Schizosaccharomyces pombe: one gene and its partners. Changing the gene in region 2 together with the main gene of any one other region gives a genetic interaction. Each region holds a gene or a part of one and is shown on either strand. Other genes may lie near its edges. The genes, in order: hhf1, mcl1, fft3 and rad1.

What was found.
Region 1: mutations in mcl1 (region 2) and hhf1 together harm fitness more than expected from each alone (negative genetic interaction), as found in Schizosaccharomyces pombe (2 studies listed by BioGRID).
Region 3: mutations in mcl1 (region 2) and fft3 together harm fitness more than expected from each alone (negative genetic interaction), as found in Schizosaccharomyces pombe (2 studies listed by BioGRID).
Region 4: mutations in mcl1 (region 2) and rad1 together harm fitness more than expected from each alone (negative genetic interaction), as found in Schizosaccharomyces pombe (3 studies listed by BioGRID, with this or other methods).

Annotation. Positions count from the first base shown.
Region 1 is NC_003424.3:4,698,273-4,702,253, forward strand, and holds hhf1 (histone H4 h4.1), read right to left. Parts: upstream 1,328-3,981; 5' UTR 1,125-1,327; coding exon 813-1,124; 3' UTR 501-812; downstream 1-500. Other genes in the region: multifunctional aromatic polypeptide Aro1, read left to right, coding at 1-220; hht1 (histone H3 h3.1), read left to right, coding at 1,557-1,967.
Region 2 is NC_003424.3:3,281,913-3,287,741, forward strand, and holds mcl1 (DNA polymerase alpha accessory factor Mcl1), read right to left. Parts: upstream 3,841-5,829; 5' UTR 3,834-3,840; coding exon 3,642-3,833; exon of another isoform or gene 3,597-3,641; coding exon 3,445-3,596; exon of another isoform or gene 3,387-3,444; coding exon 1,283-3,386; 3' UTR 1,092-1,282; downstream 1-1,091. Other genes in the region: SPOM_SPAPB1E7.01C (uncharacterized protein), read right to left, coding at 302-793; DNA-directed RNA polymerase III complex subunit Rpc82, read left to right, coding at 4,690-4,755, 4,835-5,829. UniProt on the Schizosaccharomyces pombe protein: Has a role in regulating DNA replication complexes. Acts as a regulator of post DNA replication initiation. Associates with chromatin during G1 and S phases of mitosis. Required for the transcriptional repression of the outer repeats of the centromeric region.
Region 3 is NC_003424.3:2,096,956-2,103,439, forward strand, and holds fft3 (protein Fft3), read right to left. Parts: upstream 4,851-6,484; 5' UTR 4,095-4,850; coding exon 1,326-4,094; 3' UTR 1,240-1,325; downstream 1-1,239. Other genes in the region: SPOM_SPAC25A8.03C (uncharacterized protein), read right to left, coding at 1-830; protein Atg14, read left to right, coding at 5,827-6,484. UniProt on the Schizosaccharomyces pombe protein: DNA helicase that possesses intrinsic ATP-dependent nucleosome-remodeling activity and is required for heterochromatin organization.
Region 4 is NC_003424.3:4,976,807-4,981,404, reverse strand, and holds rad1 (checkpoint clamp complex protein Rad1), read right to left. Parts: upstream 2,828-4,598; 5' UTR 2,787-2,827; coding exon 2,651-2,786; exon of another isoform or gene 2,525-2,650; coding exon 2,284-2,524; exon of another isoform or gene 2,241-2,283; coding exon 1,646-2,240; 3' UTR 1,267-1,645; downstream 1-1,266. Other genes in the region: ach1 (acetyl-CoA hydrolase), read left to right, coding at 1-71; SPOM_SPAC1952.08C (pyridoxamine 5'-phosphate oxidase), read left to right, coding at 619-843, 919-1,266; SPOM_SPAC1952.06C (uncharacterized protein), read left to right, coding at 3,965-4,598. UniProt on the Schizosaccharomyces pombe protein: Recombinational reparation of DNA damages induced by UV and gamma radiation.

The DNA of each region.
Region 1 (3,981 bases), 1.4 Mb from region 2:
TGTTATTAAAGCTTTGCTTGCTAACAAAGCCGATGGTGGAGTATTCCTTGACATGGCTTACAAGCCCTTGCATACACCTCTAATGGCTGTTGCATCTGACTTGGAATGGAAATGTTGCAACGGATTGGAAGCTTTAGTTCGTCAAGGTCTTGCGTCTTTTCATTTGTGGACTGGAATGACAGCACCATTTGATGCTGTTTATCAAAAGGTTATTGAGTAAGTCAACAATTCAAATTTTCGATTTAGTTAGGTATTTTGAAATCTATTTTGATACAAATGTAGAATAAAAATACAGGAAGTAATTTTTTTTAGCACTTCAGCTAGTAGAATCAGGAAGCCAATTGACGCTTGGTATGTCAATGATCAGTAAGCAGTCGCAAAATGTATGAACGCTGTAAATTTACAACAACAAAAATAATCTTGTAGAAGTGGAAACATTACTGTACCATTTTGCATACCAACTTGTATCTACTTTCGACTACAAAATGAAGTATTTTGCGAAACGTGATAATTAAGTTTATTAAAGTGTGACATTCAAAGACATTGTTTGCAAAAAATAATATCACCTACAAAAGAAACTAGTCATAAAAACATATGCAGAACAAATCCAATTAAAAACAGAACTTATAAGACTGCTGAAAAAGGGAAAGTCGCAGAAAGAGGTAATAATCCACAAAAATTATATTGATAGATAATTCAAATTTCACGAACAATTGCACAACATTTATAGCAGACAGGGGTAAAAAAGGAATTAAGTGGTAAATAATAAAGTGATATACAAACAAGGAGAAAAAAATCAATGTAATAGGAGTTTAACCACCGAAACCATAAATGGTACGGCCTTGACGCTTCAAAGAATAGACAACGTCCAAAGAAGTGACAGTCTTACGCTTGGCATGCTCAGTATAGGTGACGGCATCGCGAATAACATTTTCTAAGAAGAGCTTGAGAACAGCACGAGTCTCTTCATAAACCAAAGCGGAAATACGCTTCACACCACCACGACGAGCAAGACGACGGATAGCAGGCTTAGTAATACCTTGAATGTTGTCACGAAGAATTTTACGGTGACGCTTAGCACCACCTTTTCCCAAACCTTTACCACCTTTACCACGACCAGACATGTTAAGAAGTAGAAAAAATTAAAATCTACGCAAAAAAACGCGTAATTCTTTAAGTATAATAAAGATAAAGGGGTTTTCCGTTGACTAACAAAGGAACAATGAATTTATAGATGTCAACAGATGTTAACGGTAGGATAAAAGTCAATGCAAATTGACAAAGGATTTTATCCGTATTCAAAAACAATTAAAAGAAATGATTGTCTGAAGAGAGGGAAGTTGGGGCGACGCTGTCTATTTGTTTTGAATCTGCATCAAAACCCTAACCCTGCTTTTGATGAGATCGGGTGGATTCAAAACATATATATAGCAAATATCTGCAGTACGCTTGCGTTTCCATTAATTCTAAAGATCAACAATTGGCAAAAGTAGCACAACAGCTATTTTTTTCTCGATTGTCTTTTTATTTGATATTCATTCTACTAGCTTGATATAATGGCTCGTACTAAACAAACAGCTCGTAAGTCTACCGGTGGTAAGGCACCCCGTAAGCAATTGGCCTCTAAGGCCGCTCGTAAGGCCGCTCCCGCTACCGGAGGTGTTAAGAAGCCTCATCGTTATCGTCCTGGTACTGTCGCTCTTCGTGAGATTCGTCGTTATCAAAAGTCTACTGAACTTTTAATTCGTAAGCTACCTTTCCAACGTTTGGTCCGTGAAATCGCCCAAGATTTCAAGACTGACTTGCGTTTCCAATCTTCTGCCATTGGTGCTCTCCAAGAAGCTGTTGAGGCCTACCTTGTCTCTCTATTTGAGGACACTAACTTGTGTGCTATTCACGGAAAACGTGTTACGATTCAACCCAAGGATATGCAGTTGGCTCGTCGTCTCCGTGGCGAACGCTCATAATTTTCTCCAGGACTTTTGGCAATTGTAATTGAGACTAAATTAATTTTGATTGACTGCTTGCCTGTATTATACTGTCACCCTTTGATATGTTGCTACCAATAAGTGAAAAGCAGGCTTCGTGAATAATTGTTGTTTTTGTTCTACATTACCAAGAGCTAGATGAACGTTCACTTTGATGGGAACGGATATGTGTTAATTTGGTTGTTTGAATTTATCTTCAATTATAGAAACTTGTCGTTAATTCATGCGAATGAATTCAGCCTTGAGAGTGACAAGTTTAGATAACACATTATGTACATTAATGAAAACTAATGACAACAAGTACCTTTATTTGAAACATGATTTCTTTTATTTCAAGTATCTGTTAAATTTATGTCTTTTGTTTTATAAAAGAATACAGAACTACGAAGACAATGCTTTTTTTAAAAATCTTTACACTTTTGGTATTGAGATTTGGTTGTTATCGCAGCATTCTTTATCGTTTAATGGCGGTTCGCATAAAGAATTGCACATATTTATATGAACAAACTGTTTTCAGGTATTTACGAACTGTTTAATAGCTTAATAGCTTTGATATATCGCGGAAAGATATTTTGCAAAGACAAATCGAGCATGTAATGAACTTATCGGCCGAAAAAAAATAGACAATTCGTGAAAAATAATCAGTCATTCTTTCCTGCTTGTTATGTAACCTCTCTTTAGAACCTGGAATTGCATTTATAAGAGAATTAACGGTCGTTTTAATTCTTATTTTTAAAAATTTAGAGCTTTCTTAAGCATAGTTGAACGAGTAAAAGTAGTCCTTTGTTAGCGACTTCATAATTAAGCCTTGAAATTTATTCGGATGATTATTCTTAACATAAAAAGGAAGCGCTGCTGACTGCTATATTTGGTAATTGCGATTGCCTGTCATTTCGTGAAGTAGCAAAATATTTGTAATTTATTGGCAACATTTAATTTAAATATAGAATTAAGCATATACTCACAGAGTTAATTTAGTTAGTATATAATTTTAGAATCTAGGATGGGATGTGTTTATCGGGCAACAGAAAGTTTAAAAGCAATTTAGTATTGTATCCGGAATGTGAGGGCTTTGATTAATTTGAAATTTTGAAAGACCAATGTCAATCAATGCTCATTCAAGAAGAACTTACTTTAAGTACTCAATCATCTAAATAATGGGTCCGACTAATATTGCGTGCTATGTTATCTCATTTTTACAAGTTTCTTTGTTTGTTTTCTGTATATTCATTAGTACCTTTCACACTGGGATTACTGAACAAGAATATTCACGAGCCGCCAAATATATTCGACCCATAATTCGAAGGCACACTTTATTAGAGTGGTAGTATTGTTTACAATGAAGAATGCTATAAAGTGATTTACATAAATTATCGTTGTATATAGTCGTTTAAACAGTTAACAAAGTCATATTCTATATTTTTTTGATTTTGGCTGAATGTTTTACTGCTAGTAGTTTCAAGCTTCATCATGCATCCGTTAAATTGGTACATTAGTATAACAATATTCTAATATTATAATAACTATTCTCATATTTTACAACAAATAGCTATTTTCCATAAAATTCAAGCTTAGTTTTCAAATGACTGCAGTACCATATTTGTAAACTTGACCGTTTTTGGAATTCATTTTTTGTATAAATTGAAGGACTTTCTTTTAATTTTGTAAAACAGTGGTAATTTTCATCGTTTAAACAGACGTAGATTGCCATAGTACATTAAATGGTTGAAACAAGCGTCTTTTATTAGCAAAATGCTTGGTTGTTTCTGAATAATCAGCATTTTCTAAATTTTTTATGATATGAATTCGATGTTAAAAAGAATGTTAAATCATTAGTAAAAATTTAGATTACATATTCATTATTGTCATAAAGCTTTCTGAATTATTAATATCAATAGACTTAAAGACCTGCTTTCCAGTTATATGGGCAAATTCATAATTGTATCATTAGTTTCTGTTAAGTTGCTCTGTTGGTTAGTTTATCCCTCTATCT
Region 2 (5,829 bases):
AACATACCGACTAAACAAAAAAAAAACCCTCCTGATTGAAAAGAGGTAAACACGGCACCCAAATTAAGACCCATCCAATGTAAACACTAAATGTGATTAAGGATCGTAAATTTTTTCACAGAAAAATAAATTTCGATTCAACTTCATGCACGTCAACCAATAGCAATGCCATAAATACTCCAGTGCTGCTTATTTATGGGTTCATAGGATGTCCATTTCCTTGAGGCTAATCTCTTGATCAAAATGAATCAGAAGTCAAACCTTTTATGCAAATATTTTATGTATGTCTTTTCTTTCAAGTTCACCTTTTTTTCTTCCCAAGTTTTTTATAAATATCAAAGCCAGAACTTTGGGCGTTAGCTCTTTTCGATCGGCTAGTAATGCGAGCCTTTGAATCATCATCATCATCATCAGTATCAGACTGTTGCTCGTTCAATTCATCGCCTACTTTATTCAATTTTCGCTTTAAATTGTCGTGGTTTTTGCCGCCTTCAATTTTTTCAGCTTCCTTCTTCTTCTGCAACTGTCTTTCAATCTTCTTCTTTAATGCCGGTGGCAGGCTTTTCAATTTCTCATTTTTGGAAGTAACCCAGCTGTTTTCTGACTGGTCTTTTCTACTAGCACCCAACCCTAACCGTGGCGGCCTAGCTTGTAACGGTGGATCGTCATTTTTTTCATCGCTACTGACAGATGTATTTTCGTTTCCCAACCACGAATTGATTAAGTTTTTTGTGATGCTTATGGATGTTTGATATTTATTCAATAACACATCCGCACTCACTTTTTGTTCCATGCTAAAATTGTGTTTTCGTTTGCAGCTTGGCACTTTACAAAGTTGTACTGCACTTAGTGTCTGCAACTTTACGAACTGTAACGCACCCTAAGGCACTGAGCTTTGCAGTTTCTACATTAGATTTTATTTCATTTCAGAAAGGAAAAGAATACAAATTCCTTTGTGACTCTTTGTCATTTTAAAAAATGTTTCCACCTTTTCTTATGAATCAATTTTTTGTACCCCTGTGCAATTTCTAAATAGACTCGAAATATATGCCGAATATACTGACATATAAACATAGAGGTTATATGGTAAACAAAATGAAATGTGTTTATTAAATACAAAAATGAGAAAAAAATCAAAGTGCTAGATGCTTATATAAATGAATTTAGAAAGGAGCAAGATCGTGACAAAACTTCTGCATAGCTTTGCTTCAAACCCCTTTTGATTAGCTCAAGCTACTAATATGCAAAAAATAATGTTACATAAAAATTAAGACGTGAGGGTTTAGACGTTAGATAGTAGATTACCAATTTTTTCAGCAACATTTGTAAGGGAATGGTGGAGCGCAATCTTTTGAGCAGCAGCAATACTTGTTGTCCTTCTCAAAGTTTTTGTCAATTCATAGACACGTTCGATTCTTTCCTCGAGACAAGCCTTTTGAATAAGTTGCAACAAGGCTTTGTCAATGTTAGCTTCTAGTCTAGCAATGCTTATTTTTTCGTCCTCCGTAACATCGCCATCTCCTATGCTATCTTCCAATAAAGTCAAAAATAGTTTATTACGGAGTTGTAGTTCTTCTAAAACAGGAACAGATGTAGAAGCATCCGGATTGTTCGTATTACAAGGAATACGAAAGTCAAATTCTGTAAACATCGGACGAGGGAAATAGGGATATCGAGAGGCTCCTTTTAGCAATATACAGTGAAACTGATTATCGGCAACAGTTACAGGCCAATAAGACTCTTGCCGTGATTTGCGACGCTCCAATTCATTTGTATCTAAAACAGGGATCCACTTGGCTTGTCCTGGTATGCGCCAATGCATTAATACCAACAATACCCCAGTTGAATCGTAGATGTAAGGATCTCCAACATCCGAAAAGAAAACACTCTCTAACGTTCCTTGGGGTGGTAATGCAACCCCATCACCAGTTTGCAACATTTCATCACGAGAAATGTCTTCAATGGAATAAACAAGACGAGAATTTCCATCAGAGCTCAAACCATCGTTGGCGATGGTTATAATCGTATCCTGAAAAGATGAACAAGCTACAAATGGCAAGTGTTTACTCCTGTGAATGCTAATTGGAAAGCCTTGTCTTGAGAATACGCGAACATATCCAGCACTCGTACATACCAGTACAACGCTTGAGCTTAATGAAATTGTCACAGGACTTTCATTCTCCATGGGTAAAGCCATTGCCCATTCAGATTTACGCGACCAATCAACATGTGCTTTATAATAAATAACACCAGGTGAACTTTCCGTTGCAGGCGAAGCATACAAAGCACCTTCATGATCTAAGCATGCCATTTCAAATTTTTGGTCATCAACAAAGTGATATTTTCTATGAGTAGTTTCATCATGAAATTCAACCGTTATAGTGTTGTGTTCTGCATCTTGCTGTACAGTCCAGATAAACCCTACCAAGTTCAAACATAGATATCTTCTATTACCCTGCCATGGTGTACTTCCAGTATGAACGGGTTTATGTATTGAGGCTTGCAGTAAACGTCTTTTACTAGAACCATTCTCTATTGTTGTAGTTCTGTCGATCAACGCCTTCTGCTTTCTTTTCTTTGCAAGGTTTAAGTCGTTTTCATCAACCATATAACTATCACCATCTAGGTCCAAAGATGAATCCAATCCATCATGATTGATAAACTCATTTTCCTCGTTGGCAGAGTTCCCATCCAAATCATTGACGTTCTGACTTTGCTCATCGTCAGAACCAAAAAGATCATCAAGCTCTTTGGAAGTACGGTTTTTACTTTTTGACGAAGTCAAAGGCTTCGTAGGATCATTTTCTTCCTTCAATATTGATTTAGGAATGACATCCGGACATGAATACAAAATTCCCTGATTTGTAGTAAATGATAACACGTTTTCAAATGGCTGCCAGGCGAGTGCCACCACTGTACTATAGGGGAGCTCAACGACTACTTCATGACTTTGTGTATCCCAAATTAAAATGCCTCCTTTTTTAAATGAAGCAGCTATGTACATTCCATTACTGGACCAGGAGATATCTGTTACACCAGAATGATTCTCTTTTGGAAGAAGTTTGTACAATGGAAGCCAGTCATCAGGGGAAATAACTGATACAAAATGGTCGGTACTCGCAACTGCAAATGTCCCGTTTTTAGGATGCCAAGCCGCCTTTGAGCAAATTTCTGATTCTGCCTCTAAAGAGGCAATAGTGTTTGTTAAGAACTTGATGAGTTCACGAGTTTGGGTGTCATAAAAATACAAAATTCCATTGCAACTGGAAACTGCTAAAAAATTTCCGTTCGGGCTATAAGTTACATGTTTATTCGAAGCCTTAGCTGGACGAAGAGAGAAAATTTGTGAAGAATCAGTGGACGAAACCACTTTCACTGCTGTTTCACTATATTTGTTAGGCTGAAAACGACCAAGTAGAGCATTATACACTAAAAAAAACTTACTCACTAGCTATGGCAATCCAATTTCCATCTACTGAATATGCCACATCGCGAATAGGAAGAGTAGTACGCGCCAGCAATGTATGCTCGGTAGGAGAATCGATGGGATATACGCAGACAGTTGCATCTTCTGAACAAGTACAAAAATAATTTTCCTATATAAAAGTCATTAGCTCCAAACTTTTTTGAGGACCACTTACAGCAACTGCAATTCCTGTTATAGGATCTTGATGATTATCAATGGAGTCGGGTTCCTCATCAGAACCAACCTGAAATTTTCGGATTACTTGATTAGAACCGACCGTAAGAAGAAATTTCCCATCACGAGTATACGCTAGACGCGTCAGTCCATCTGTATGGGCATATCTAGGAACTAGCCTATTCCCTGCCATAATAGCTAGAGGAAGAGTTTGTATATGAGATTGGGACTAGTATGGCAATAGCGATACTTTCGTTAGCTAGTTACGCTATTTAATGTAAACAAACATTTAAATAAAAAATCTACCACGAAAGCACTATTGAGAAATTGCAAATGTTTGTCTACAATTTATTTTCATATGCAAGTACGATTGAAAATATGCAATCCATGCTTTTAATCATCTGCTAACAATTAGAAATTAATACTAAAGTAACTTATATGTGAGACTATAGGAATAATTTAACTTTAATCATTTCAGAGCTTTTTTTAATTACTCTGAAGTTGTATTTGATGTTCCATTAGAGCAGTTCTGTTAAAAAGTTTTGAAATGTCTGCTATAAATGTTCAAACAGCCGCACAGCAATATTCTAAATGGAGGAAAAATATGCAATTAGCTATTGTCTTTTAGTATTTTAATTAATGCTTACCATGACAAGCTATAAAACAGAATCTGCAGATAAGTCATGCTTGATTAAACCACAAAAAATCAACGACATGGAAATGGAATTGAGAAACCTAGTGGAGCCTCTCACAGGAAAATTAAAAAGAAGTTAAATAAATTAATCATACAATTAGATTTCGATCATTCATTTAATACTCGCAGTAATTATATGTATGTATTTTTTCAAAAAGTAATATGAAAATCGTTTTTGCACATCGTTAAAGTTTTATTCTGTATTAGAGTGATACACTATAAATGTTAACGCTGCTTTAACGACGCACAAAATACAGGCTATTGGCATACTCTAGGTTGTGAAATCTTTGCTTTTTTGTAGTTACGTCTGCCAAACAATTTACCATTCCAAGCAAGATTGGTAATCTGCTTGATCATGTCACAGTATGCTGTAGAACTGTGTGAGATTCTCGTAGAGGAATTTTTCGGTGATTGTTGCTCGGTAAGGATTCAATTGTATTTCTAAATCTGAAGTTGAGGTTGCAAAGTCTTTTGTATTAACCAATTTATTGTCAATTTAGGCAGTAGCTAGTGCACTTTTGAGGCATGGTCGTTTAACGATTCCCATGCTACAAAAACGGACTTCGTTGCCAGGACCAAAAATTCGACAAGCACTTGTCAGTTTAATGCAGCATCATATGGTTTTGTACGTTACGGTCATTGAAAATGTACGTGAAGTCACATATTATGAGACCCAATGGAAGGAAATTTATAACATTCTTCGCAAAGGTAAAGATGTATATTTGATATCTCAAAAATTAAACCAGGAGGCTGCCTCTGTGGTAAAATATCTTAGTACCCAAGGACGTGCACGTGTACTCGAAGTATTCAATGCTTTCGATAAAAAGGTTGATGGGAGTGATGAAGAAAGCCGTATGATGCAGAAAAATCTAACGGAATTGATTTACCAAAAGTTTTTGCTAGTAGTGCAACCGAGACATTTAATACCAGTAGGAGATCAGGAAATGCAACTCCGGATCAAGCACTTAGATCGCAGAAAGTCAGAAAACGTGTCTGAAATAAAAAAAAATAGAGAGGTTGATGATTCTGTCGCCTTGGAAATGTTAGAGCTTCGTGCAGCAGATATGTCAGAACTACAAGGACTTACCAGGAAGCCAAAGGAATCAATACCACATCCAACAAAAAGAAGGAAACGTGCTGTTGGCTCTGCTCCGTCTGTATCAACGGATTTGAATAATATATTAGACGATGATAATAGCATCCTTGTACCTGATCTATCCGCGCATGTTCGCATAAATTCAGGAAAACTTTCTGTCCTCTCAAAAAATGCCAGGCTTACCCATTGGGTGGAAAGAAGAATTGGTAAATCAACTTCGCTTGTCTATTCTCACGTTCTTTCTATGTTGGAACCCAGATTATTTAGTATTTCCAATCAATCTCCGGTCTTTACACTCACGACAATGGAGCTTACGAGAAACTTTCCGAATGATATCGACGTTGAGAGTTCGATTGTCGATAAACAGTATAGCGTAAATTCTGCCTCTAACGAATTGCG
Region 3 (6,484 bases), 1.2 Mb from region 2:
TGAGTATTTAGAGTGAAGAATTCGTTTAAAAAGTGCTCTGGACCAAGCCAGCACCGTTCCATCATCATGGCGCCGTTACTCTGACGAAATAAATCATGACCGAAGGAGCTAATTACCTGTAATGCCAATACAAAGCAAGGATTTGTATCAGTATGGTTCCACGTTAATGGATCACTAACATATATATCAATATGATCTCCATGCTTTGCATATCTCACAGATGTCAACATGCTCTTAAACCAGCTTGCTTGCCAAGAATTATGCAAGACTATATTGTATGTAGTACGTCCATAAACTTCAAGGTGATTTTTATAAAGATAATCAAGAATATCCAATGCTATTATTCCAGTCCCAGAATGAAAATCATATATTTTCAAATCAAACACCGGGAAATATCGAAGTTTATACTGCAACACCAAGTAGTTACTAATGGACTCAGAGAATAGAGACCTTTGCTTTTCATAGATGTTTAATGCCTTTTGAGGAATAGGTATTCCATGCAAAAAAGGATCAAATTCTTTGGAACATTTATGCCCTTCTTTCCTTAATACATGTACAGAATGGCTCAAATTATTGGTTGAGCCTGTCCAAAGTCGAGAATAGTAACCCTTGCTGGGATCAAACGTAGATTCATGAATATAATCGGCTAACGAAACCTTAGAATCGCGGTGCAACAAAAATCCATTATCAGTAGTATACCATCTTCTTGGGCCATGCAAAACTAGACCGGTATTTGTAAATGCAAGAGCACTAATTACTCTGCTTCCAAATAATAATGAAGCTTGATAAACTTGAGAGCGACTTAGCTTCCACATATAAAGATTCAGCATTTAACACTCTTTGTAGTATTAAAATTGAACAAAATTCATTATTTATTCGATTACTATTATTCGAAGTTGAGAAATAAAATGTAATAATATGATTTCATAAACTTACTAGGTGAAGTGCTTTCCTCTGTCAACTTTTGTTTTGCAAGTTTTAGAACGACTTTGGATAATAAGAATCGCTTATTTGCTGTATTATCTTCAAAAAAGACTGACCATTTTCACGACGCGTTTTTGGCGTGGTATATAAATGGTGTCAAGAAGCTAAAAGCTTTCATATTAGGTTGAAGAAGTACTGAATTTGTATCATTCAATAAATAGAATTTACTTTTACAAATCAAATCTTTTAATCTGATTTAGTGAAACGGGATCGACTTATAACGTGCAAAACACAAATACAGATAATACAATTGAAAATAAAGAGAAAGGTTTACTCGAATAAAGTAGAAACCTAATCAATTTGACTATTTTAAAACTAATGCATAAAAAACCCTGTATAAACTAATCATCGTCATCTTCAGCCTCCACAGTTTCGGCATTGCCGGAAAGAGTCGCATCCAAAGCAATTTTAGCGTTGGCTAAACGTTGAATGTGCTCTTCGATGGTATCCTTGACAACAAATTTATAAACTGTAACTTCTTTCTTTTGGCCAACTCTATGTGCTCTATCTTCCGCCTGAAGGTCATCGAATGGATTGAAAGAGACATCATAAAGAATAACCATATTAGCACACGCAAGATTGATACCAAAACCGCCGGCTTTGGTAGAAAGAAGAAATACATTAATGCTTTCATCAGCATAAAATTGATCGATGAGATCCTGGCGGAAATCGACTTGTGTAGAACCATCAAATCTTAAAAACTTTAGATTTAATGATTTCATGACAAGTTGAAGAATGTCCAAAACCTGTGTAAACTGACTAAATAATACAACTCTGTCGCCATTTTCAACAGCATTAGTGAGCAGTTTTTTAAGTTTTCTGACCTTTGTGGCGTCCATCCAAGGTTCATCTTTAAGTTGGAATGAATTGATAGACGGAAATTTGCAACACAAATTATGTAGCTCAATATCTGACATGTACTGCATGTCTTCAAATATATAAAGTTCGTTTGCCTTTTTGTATTGGGGTTCATTCATAATAGCTTTCGCCATTTGTCGAAGGATATCATCTTTATAATGAATTCGAAACAACATAGGGTGATCCGCAAGCTTACGAAGCTGTACAAGCACAAAACCAGCTGTGCTTTTCTTCTTTGCAAGATTTGCATTCGTATCTAAATTAGTTTTCATGACATTTTCATCCAATAAAGAATTTACACTTTGTTTGCTAGCGAAGTCATCATAACGGCGACGTTCCTCTTCGGAAAATTCGCAAAATTCTATAATACGCGTTTTCTTCGGCAAAGCATCTAACACCTGGCTCTTTTTACGGCGAAGGACAAATGGGGCCATCATCATTTTGGCTCTCGATACTCGCTGTTCTGAAAGCAATGCTCGTTCAAAGTCGCTTTCTGGGGATTTTTTCATAGTAAAAATGACATCTAAACTTTTCAAACCATAATCAAATACATGAGGAAGAATGAACGCTAAAAGCGAAATTAATTCTTTAAGATTATTCTGTAGCGGTGTACCAGTTAGCAAAACTCGAAAGTCGGCAGGAATACTCATCAAATGACGATATCTCTCAGACGCACGGTTTTTCAAGTAATGACCTTCGTCATATACACAAACATTGAACTTTTGGTTGCGCAAAAACAAACGATCAGCCTTACTAGTAGCGGCTAAACGGTAGGTGGTTAACATAACGTTATAAGAATCTTTATTAGAGTTGATACGTTCACGAATTTCTTCACGTTCGACTTGCGATCCATAATAAAGTTCAATTTTTAGCTTGGGACAGAACTTGGCAAATTCACGTAACCAATTCTCCATCGTTGAAGCAGGTGCAATTACCAAATGTGGCCCGTTAATATTTTTATCCATGAGTAATGAGAAAAAAGCGATGGTTTGACAAGTTTTACCGAGCCCCATTTCATCAGCCAGGATACCAGCCAGTTTGAGCTCGTACAAAAGGTAAAGCCAATTAATCCCAATGATCTGATAATCCTGTAGTTTGATATCGGGCGAAAAAGATGCAGGAGGTGTAGTGATAAACGAGGAATTTGCAGGCGTACCGAAACTTTTCATTTGATCAAAGTTGACAAGAGAAGTTTCACCTTCATCAGATGTAGCAGTGTTTGACAAGCCCCACGCTTCAATGCCGCGCTGAATTTTACCACCTAGCTGCTCACACTGACGAATAAGCGCATCCACTACGAAATAACCACGCATAATTTCCATACATATACCAACTAAACGTGGTCCAAGAGGAGTTTTTTCACGTCTACCTCGTCTACCTTTGGGAATCACCGGACGAGGTTGCTTAACGACCAAAGCAGATTCAAGATCTGGAAAAGGTCTTTTGGCAACCATAAATTCAGCTTCAGCAAGCGTACAACCTGTCATGTCAGCCAAATCCTGTGTTGAACAACGATTCATATATTTAAGAACTTCCTCCTTTAGAGCAGCAGTATCTATACGAGATGCCCAGCGATCTGCATTTGAATCATCATCAGAGTACATATCATCATTGCTGTCATCGTCAGCTTCAGGCTCATAAGTCTTTCGAGATGACAATGGCAAGGTAAATTGAAGTCCGTTAGTAAGATTATTAGCAGCATATCGTTCTCTCATTGTAAGACGATGTGGGGCTGGCTTTTGATTTGTAACCTGTGAACTCAGTGATTGAGACGATAATGAAAGAGGTAAAGAATCGCTTGCTTCTTCGTCATCCATGTAAGAGGGCATTTTGGGCTCTGTCTCAGAGAATTGAGATAAAGCATTGTAAACAGCGCCGTATGGATTTTGGGCATCCATAAATTGCGAAGGAGTGCCAGCAGAAGGTGTAGGAACAAGATTTTCTAACGAACCGGAATAATTATATGGTTGATTTATGGAGTTAGCAGAGGAAGTAAATGAGGGAGAAATATCACTCAACTGCTTGAAATGTTCTAAACTTGAAATGGGTGCAGTAGCCTGAACTCGTTTAGACATCTCTGAAAGAATCTGAAGTCGCGAATTCATACCACCCCCCATAACATTAGCTTTTTCGGTAGCTTCTGAAAGCGAATCAGCAATGAAAGGGGGGAAAATTGGCTTGCGCTTCACGTTGGAAGTCGCGTCGTAATGCGTGCCATCAGCGGTATGCTCTATTTTTCTTTTTCCATCCATAATTAAGTAACAATCAATGTATCCAAGCAAATGGCAAAAGAAAATTGAATCTAAAATATAGGATTTGGAGAAAAAATATGTAAGGTCACGTGTATATTATGAATAATTTTATCACACGAATTAAGAGCGCCGAGAATAGATGCAAAAAGATTGAAACTTTTTAAATTCTCCTAAGATTAATTAAAATGGAAGAAATAACGACAAAACAATACAGATTTCTTGTTTCACGCGTTTCTTGGTAACTCAAATAGTTGAAAACTTAATATGGGAACAGCAGATTACAAAAAATTTTGAGGGCCAAAACTTATTGCAATTTCTAAAACAAGAAACAATTCCTTTAGTTACGAGATGTGTATGAGTTAATTAGGATAGACCACCTTCTTCTAATACATAAGCGTTGTTTCGAGATGATATGCAGAATTTAATGAAGAAAAATAAAATGTAAATGAAAAGTAGACAAAAAAATTTTAAAATATAAATTTAAAATTTTCCTGATGTTTAAGATGAAGCAAACTTGGTAAGCTCTAGCAATAAACAAATACTCGCAATTAAAGATCACCAAAAACGACTTATACTTTGGCTATCCAAAAACAATCTTTGTTTAAAAAAAGAAAAAGAAAATTACCAAAATTAAAATAATAACACTCAATGAATCGGATTGTTAAAGAAAAAGACTCCAGTCACCCAATACCTTCTTTTGTATTATGGAATTATTCGGTATAATTCAAGAGCACACTATGCTGGTAGTTTGTTCTTGATGTGGCACGGGGGCGTGATATGGTGGTAGTGGTCCCAAATACTGATGCTAAATAATGCCTTAAACGTTGTAACGTAGTTTATGGTAAAGCTATATCATGATGGCAACTTGCTCTTTATATTACTAAACATTTAGCAAAAGATACCGTGGCGAAATTGTCTTTATTCTTTTATAGTTTTAATAAAATCATTAAACATAACTGCAGATACTAGAGATCTTTTGTCACTGAACCTTAAGAAATATGACAACAAATAGTGTTTCGTTATATTATGGCAGCGTACCACGTTATGTTTTCTAGGTGATACTGCAAAAGCTAATGTTAAAAGAGGATGGTTTGGGTTCTAGGATTATATTATTTAGTTAATATTTTATTAACCTATTTATTTAGATAAAATAGTTTTGTAAAACACCTTGCTCATCACTCAAAGTTATTTAGCAAAAATTTGAGTGTCGAGTAACAGGCTACTTTAAGGAAATATTTTTAAACGCTTTATAAAGTAACTATTTGCATACGATTGTAGTAATCAATACGAACATCAACTGCTAAGTAGCTACTTCGGGGATTTGAAGAAATAGAAGTCCATCTACTCATTGCATTGAATTCGTATAATATAATTTTTTCTTAATATTTGTCGTTTTTTCTGTCAAAAATATCGCATTGGTTGTTCAATTCTGCAAGAACAGCCAGGAATGCAGTTTCACTTTTAAATTAATATTTTTGAATTTGTCCGTTAGGAGGCCCTTCGTTTCTAAGAATAATTGTTTAAAAACCTGCGCTGTTTATTTTTTTTCCCTTTTTCTTCTTTGTTTTTGCTTCATTATTTTAACAACACCTATATTGTATACAAGTTGACAGTTAACGTAGTAGGAAATTAATATCCTGCTGGGTTTTTAAGTTTTCTTATTGCTGTGCTATAATTGAAATTTGCGTACCACTTGAAGGCATTGTTGGATCTAAACTGAAGGTGTGTTTGTATGCTGCATGTCAATAAATGCCAATTATGCGAAACAAGACGTCCTTCTATTTGCGAAAGCTGTTTAAAAAAGCAGCTTTATGATTTTTATCATAAACGTGATGAATTCTCTCGAGATATTGAGTCAGAGCTTGAAAAGGTTGCTAAATTGAAATCAGAAAGTTTCTCTCTAAAAGGAAAGATTACCCAAAAAGAGGAATTAACTTATCGACTACAGAACCTTGCTGCCTCTCTAAACGAAAAGAAATCGTTATCGTGTGACTTGCATTCCCGCAAACAGCTTATAGAAGATGACTTGTCTAATCGCAAAAAATCAATTAATATCGCGAGTCAAAAGTTAGCTGGCTTATCACATTCAACGAGTGACTATTTCTCTAAGGAATACCTTACAGCTTATCGCCGTTCTGAGCTACTTCAAAATAAATTGCATGAGTATCAAAAGAAGCTGATAACAAGGGTTTTGGATATGTATCAACTTCACTGGCAAAGGGATTTAGTGCTTAACACTCAGGGTTGCACTCAAAAATCTGCTCAAATGGGATCAGAGTTTAACCCTGACTCCATAGATTCATCTCTTGCGTATAGACTTTCAAAATTATCAATGGGCAATTCGAAATCCGACTTATCTCATAGTGACAATGAAACAGGACATTTTTATA
Region 4 (4,598 bases), 1.7 Mb from region 2:
TTCTTGCCAATGCTTTCAAGATGCAGCTCAACCTTTTAGAAAAAGGAACGATGAAGATCGATCATTGGTAAATTTAGTTATCAGTTGTTATAGCCACTTTTACTCTTTCTAAGGGTTTTCCAAAACCTTGTTACGACTAAAATACAGCTTCTTCGTGCTGTTATGACTTAATGTATTTCATTTTTACATTAATTTAATTTACGAAATAAAAAAAATCCGTATACTAAAATTAGTGTTTATAAGTTAAGGAAATTAGTTTTGAGTAAGTAAATCCAACAATCATAATGCGTATGAATTTTCCAAGATACACAGAAATGAGCGCGTTTATTTTATGAGCAGTATTCCTTTGAAGATTATTAATCTTTAGTTCCCCTGCAAAATTCGTAAGTTGGCTGTTTAGTACATACCTCTATATTACGTTGAGTTGTGAGTCAGCATTTCTGCTATTAACCTAGTATCAAACCTGCTTACTCAGAGAGGAGTACCACCAAAATTTAGGAAAGGATAATCAAGTATAGAAATTATCGTACAGTTTTGTCTGGATCAATAGTTTCCATTCACCAGTATTTATTCTGCAAATTATAATCTTTGTCGCACCACAATAACCTGAAAGTAAATATGGCCTCAAAAGTCGATTCATCTCATGAGTTCCCCAGCCAAATCAAGAGATGCTTGTCCTCATCCAAATATATTCAACTAGCTACTTGCTTTCATGATCAGCCTCACTCTTCTTTGATGACATTTACCTATTTACCTGCAGGAAGCGCTGCCCCTTACGAAGTGGAGGATTGCATTATTTTGTCAACAGGAGAAAACAGTAAAAAATATTTTAACATCAGTTCGGTATGTATCATATTTAAAAGTTTAACTTATCCTTGATCCTGATTGGTATTTTCTTTTTTCTAACATGATGACTAGAATCCTCGAGTATCATTACTAGTTCATGACTGGACCACTAATCGTCAAGAAACAGATCCTGATGCCTCCTCATTGTACACCTTACTTTATAAAATGAATCAGGCTCAGTTCTCGAATACATCAGTGACCTTGAATGGCCTTGCTACCGTTCTTCCAAAGAATAGCAAAGAAGAGGAATTCTTTAGAGAAAAGCATTTAAACACTAATGACAAGGGTAATACGAAACAATACGTGGAGGGTGAGGATATGAGAATTATCAAGATAAAGTTGGAAAGTGCGAGAATTTGTGATCAGAGACTCAACAACGTCCAAAAATGGAATGCAAGAGGAGATGAGACTCCATTTTGAGTAAACAAATGTTTTATGAGTGTCACTTTGCATTTTCTATTTTTTAAAAATCAATAATGTTTGAAGAATTTTTGAATGCTTCGTAGATCTAACCATAATGTATAATCGTGTGTATGATACATGGGAATTTTGTTGGCTACATGCTTTGCTAGACAGCCTAGTGGAAAGCGTCTTGTTTATACGTGTGTTAAATAAGCATAGAAAAAGTGAGGAAACGGTGTGACTTTAAGCTACCTAAATAAGACCAAACAAAAAGCAGGGAAATAAATCATGATTCGTTGAATAAGTGTATTATCATAAGTTGTTCAGTATCAATTGTACCTTTTTCTTTTTTTGAAGTTATCGGAAACACTAAAGTGCTGAGTGCTAAAATTATCATTTAGCTATCCTCATCCTCGGTCTCCGCATCTCCTCGATAATTCGGATCGTTTCGTAAAACGTTATTGTCCGACTGATTAGATTCTGCTGGTTCTTCTTCTTCATCCTCCTCCTCATCTTCACTTACAAGGTCCAAAGGAACAATACAAAAGTCTACAAACGTACAAAGCCCTTCTTGACCGACAAGCATGATTTGAATGCTCAAAGTTCCATTTTCATCAATACGTAGGTTTACTTTAGAACCCACTTGTAATGCTTTCAGCGCATGTCTTATTAATGAGAAGCGGTAGGAATAAGTGTTTTCAGAATCAGTTTCAAAAGACTCTAAAACACTTTTCTCGTTTGGATATTCTATTTCCGTAGTGGATAATGCCCCTACACATCTCAATAAGAAGGTTGATTTTTGGGATGATGTATGAATAATTAAATTTTCGCCCATGTTATTGTCTAATTCCACCAAGGCATCATATAGCCAGTTACTTTTCATAATGATCTTCGTGCACAATGTGCTTGCAAGTCTATTGATGTCAACGTCGTCCTCACATTCCATAGTCAACAGTTCACAAGCCGTAGCATAACCAGCCATTTCCTCTACTCTTTATTTTTGTCAGTACAGAATGTTAATGATAAAATCCTTACTCCCATATAAATGGACAGCCGGGTCCATTATACTGTACTTTGCAGATAACGCCTCGTTTGTGCATTATGTTTACAGTGGGTTGATCCCAGGCACTAGTTGAAATCCGTTCTTTTCCATCTGTATAAATTGATAATGATTGTAAAAGAGGTGAAATCATCGTCTGGAACATATATGTATCCCCATCTGAATCACCCTGAAAATTAAACGTTTGAAACAACGACTTATCAAGAAAGGCGTGAGCTTAATGTGTGAGTGAACAATAAAGAAAAAGTGAATGCATTTCAAGAATCGCATTAATATATGAAACTTTATTAAGTAGCTTCAAATTTTTTAACGATCATAGATGTGAGACTCGACTTGTCTTACCCTGCAAAGACTGCGATTCCTCCACTGCAAACCGTAGTCCACGACTTGTGATTTCGATAGTACATTCCTTTGAAAAATCAATGCATCGTAATGTTGACTGAATCTGCTTTAAGCATACTGTTTCTGCTTGAAACATGCGAATTTACGTCCAACAATAAAAAATTGGTTATATGCTACAACTTGAACACCCGTAAATGCTAATCTTATAAATTGATAATTTTTCCTTCTGATATTAAAGGACTTGACACTTGATTACAAGACCAAACGCAGAATAAGAAAGACAGTTCAAGTTAGAAGTTATTTAGTAAAATTCGAAAAGGTGCACAATTTTAAAAGGTATGCAGATTACTAAAGGAAATGAAAATTGAGATTGCTTTTTCTTTTTTAAAAAAAAAAAAATTGTGAAATATTTTATTCTGATATATAAATTTTTGGAAAGCCGTAAAGCTTAATAGACGAGTATTTTATTTATTAATTGAATAGCATCTACTTCTAACTGTCTTTATTTATTTATCTCTCGACACAGAAATTTTATCAAATTAAATACAAGTTTTAAGAGCCATATTTGAATTTACCAAATGATATTCAAAAAAGCTATAGGATCCCAGTAAGTTGATTGACTCAAAACTAAAGATACAATTAAGGATTTGTAGCTTAATGAATTTGATTGTTTATGAAACAAATGGTTCATTTATTAGACAAATATTGCAAATTGCCGAACTGTTTTAGTGATAATAGCTAAATTTAAATTGCTTTAGAAAATCCATAATTGTAATTTTATCATATATACAGTTAGGATGTCATTTTTACACCCTCTTTTGAAAAGTCATTGCTACAATTAAAAGAAAGGTAATACAAGATGGATCTAATTTCTTCCTTATTTAATCAACCTAAAAAATTTCGAGTTAACTGCATGCACTTTATTTAGCTTCTCTTCTCTTAAATAAACACTTTTTATCCTTCTTCCAATCTCTCCTTTCTTGGATATAAGAGTTGTATAATATTTATAAAACAGAGGGGAATTTACTTGCTGTTATTATTTTTTTCCAAGCTTAGATTCTGGTTTTCACTTTTGATACACTTTGTACATGCCTACATCTTACCTAGCTTTTACTTGAACTGGTAAACGAGAGGAATTTTAGGAACGAGTCAGGCGTTATAATTGAATTGCACGATAGTCTTTTCATAAGGCTTTTATTTTACTTGATGCGGCTATAAAATATAAGTTTGTCAAAATTATTTATTTTGTATCAGACGGTTTTCATATATTCAATTTGAAAAGGAAACTGGCGCATAAAAAATACATTATTCTAAATGGATGTAGATTCAATTTTTAAAAATACCGAGGAAACAAATAAGAAAAGGAACCCTGAGGAAGCAGACTCTTTGGAGCCAGCTAGTAGTCGCAGAAGACTCGCTGAAGAGAATAGCGATGAGGAGAATGAAGAATTTGACGAGGAAGGAGGTAGATTTTTTGGAAGTGGGCTTAAAAAGAGTGAAAAAACCGTTTTAGACTTTTTAGACGAACAGGAAGCCCAGGAAGAACCTGCTTCATTGACTCCTACTGAATTGAAGCGCATGGTAGTACGACTTGAAAAAACAATTAATAATAATCAGGAGTTACGCATCAAGTATTCTACTTCTCCTCAAAGGTTTATAGAATCAGAGGCAGATCTTGATCTGGAAATTCGAAGCTTCAATGTGCTTTCAGAGTATCCTATCCTCATACCCATTTTCCTTAAATTAGATTGTGTTTCCACGTTTTTAGAATTAATGAACCATGAAAATGCGGATATTACTATTACGGTATTGGAGCTATTGATAGAACTGACTGACGAGGATGTTGACCCAGACGCATTAAACTCCTTATTTACTTCCCTTATAGATTCTGGTTTGCTTCCTTTGCTTTCAAATACAATCAAAAGGTTTGACGAATCTAATGAGGAAG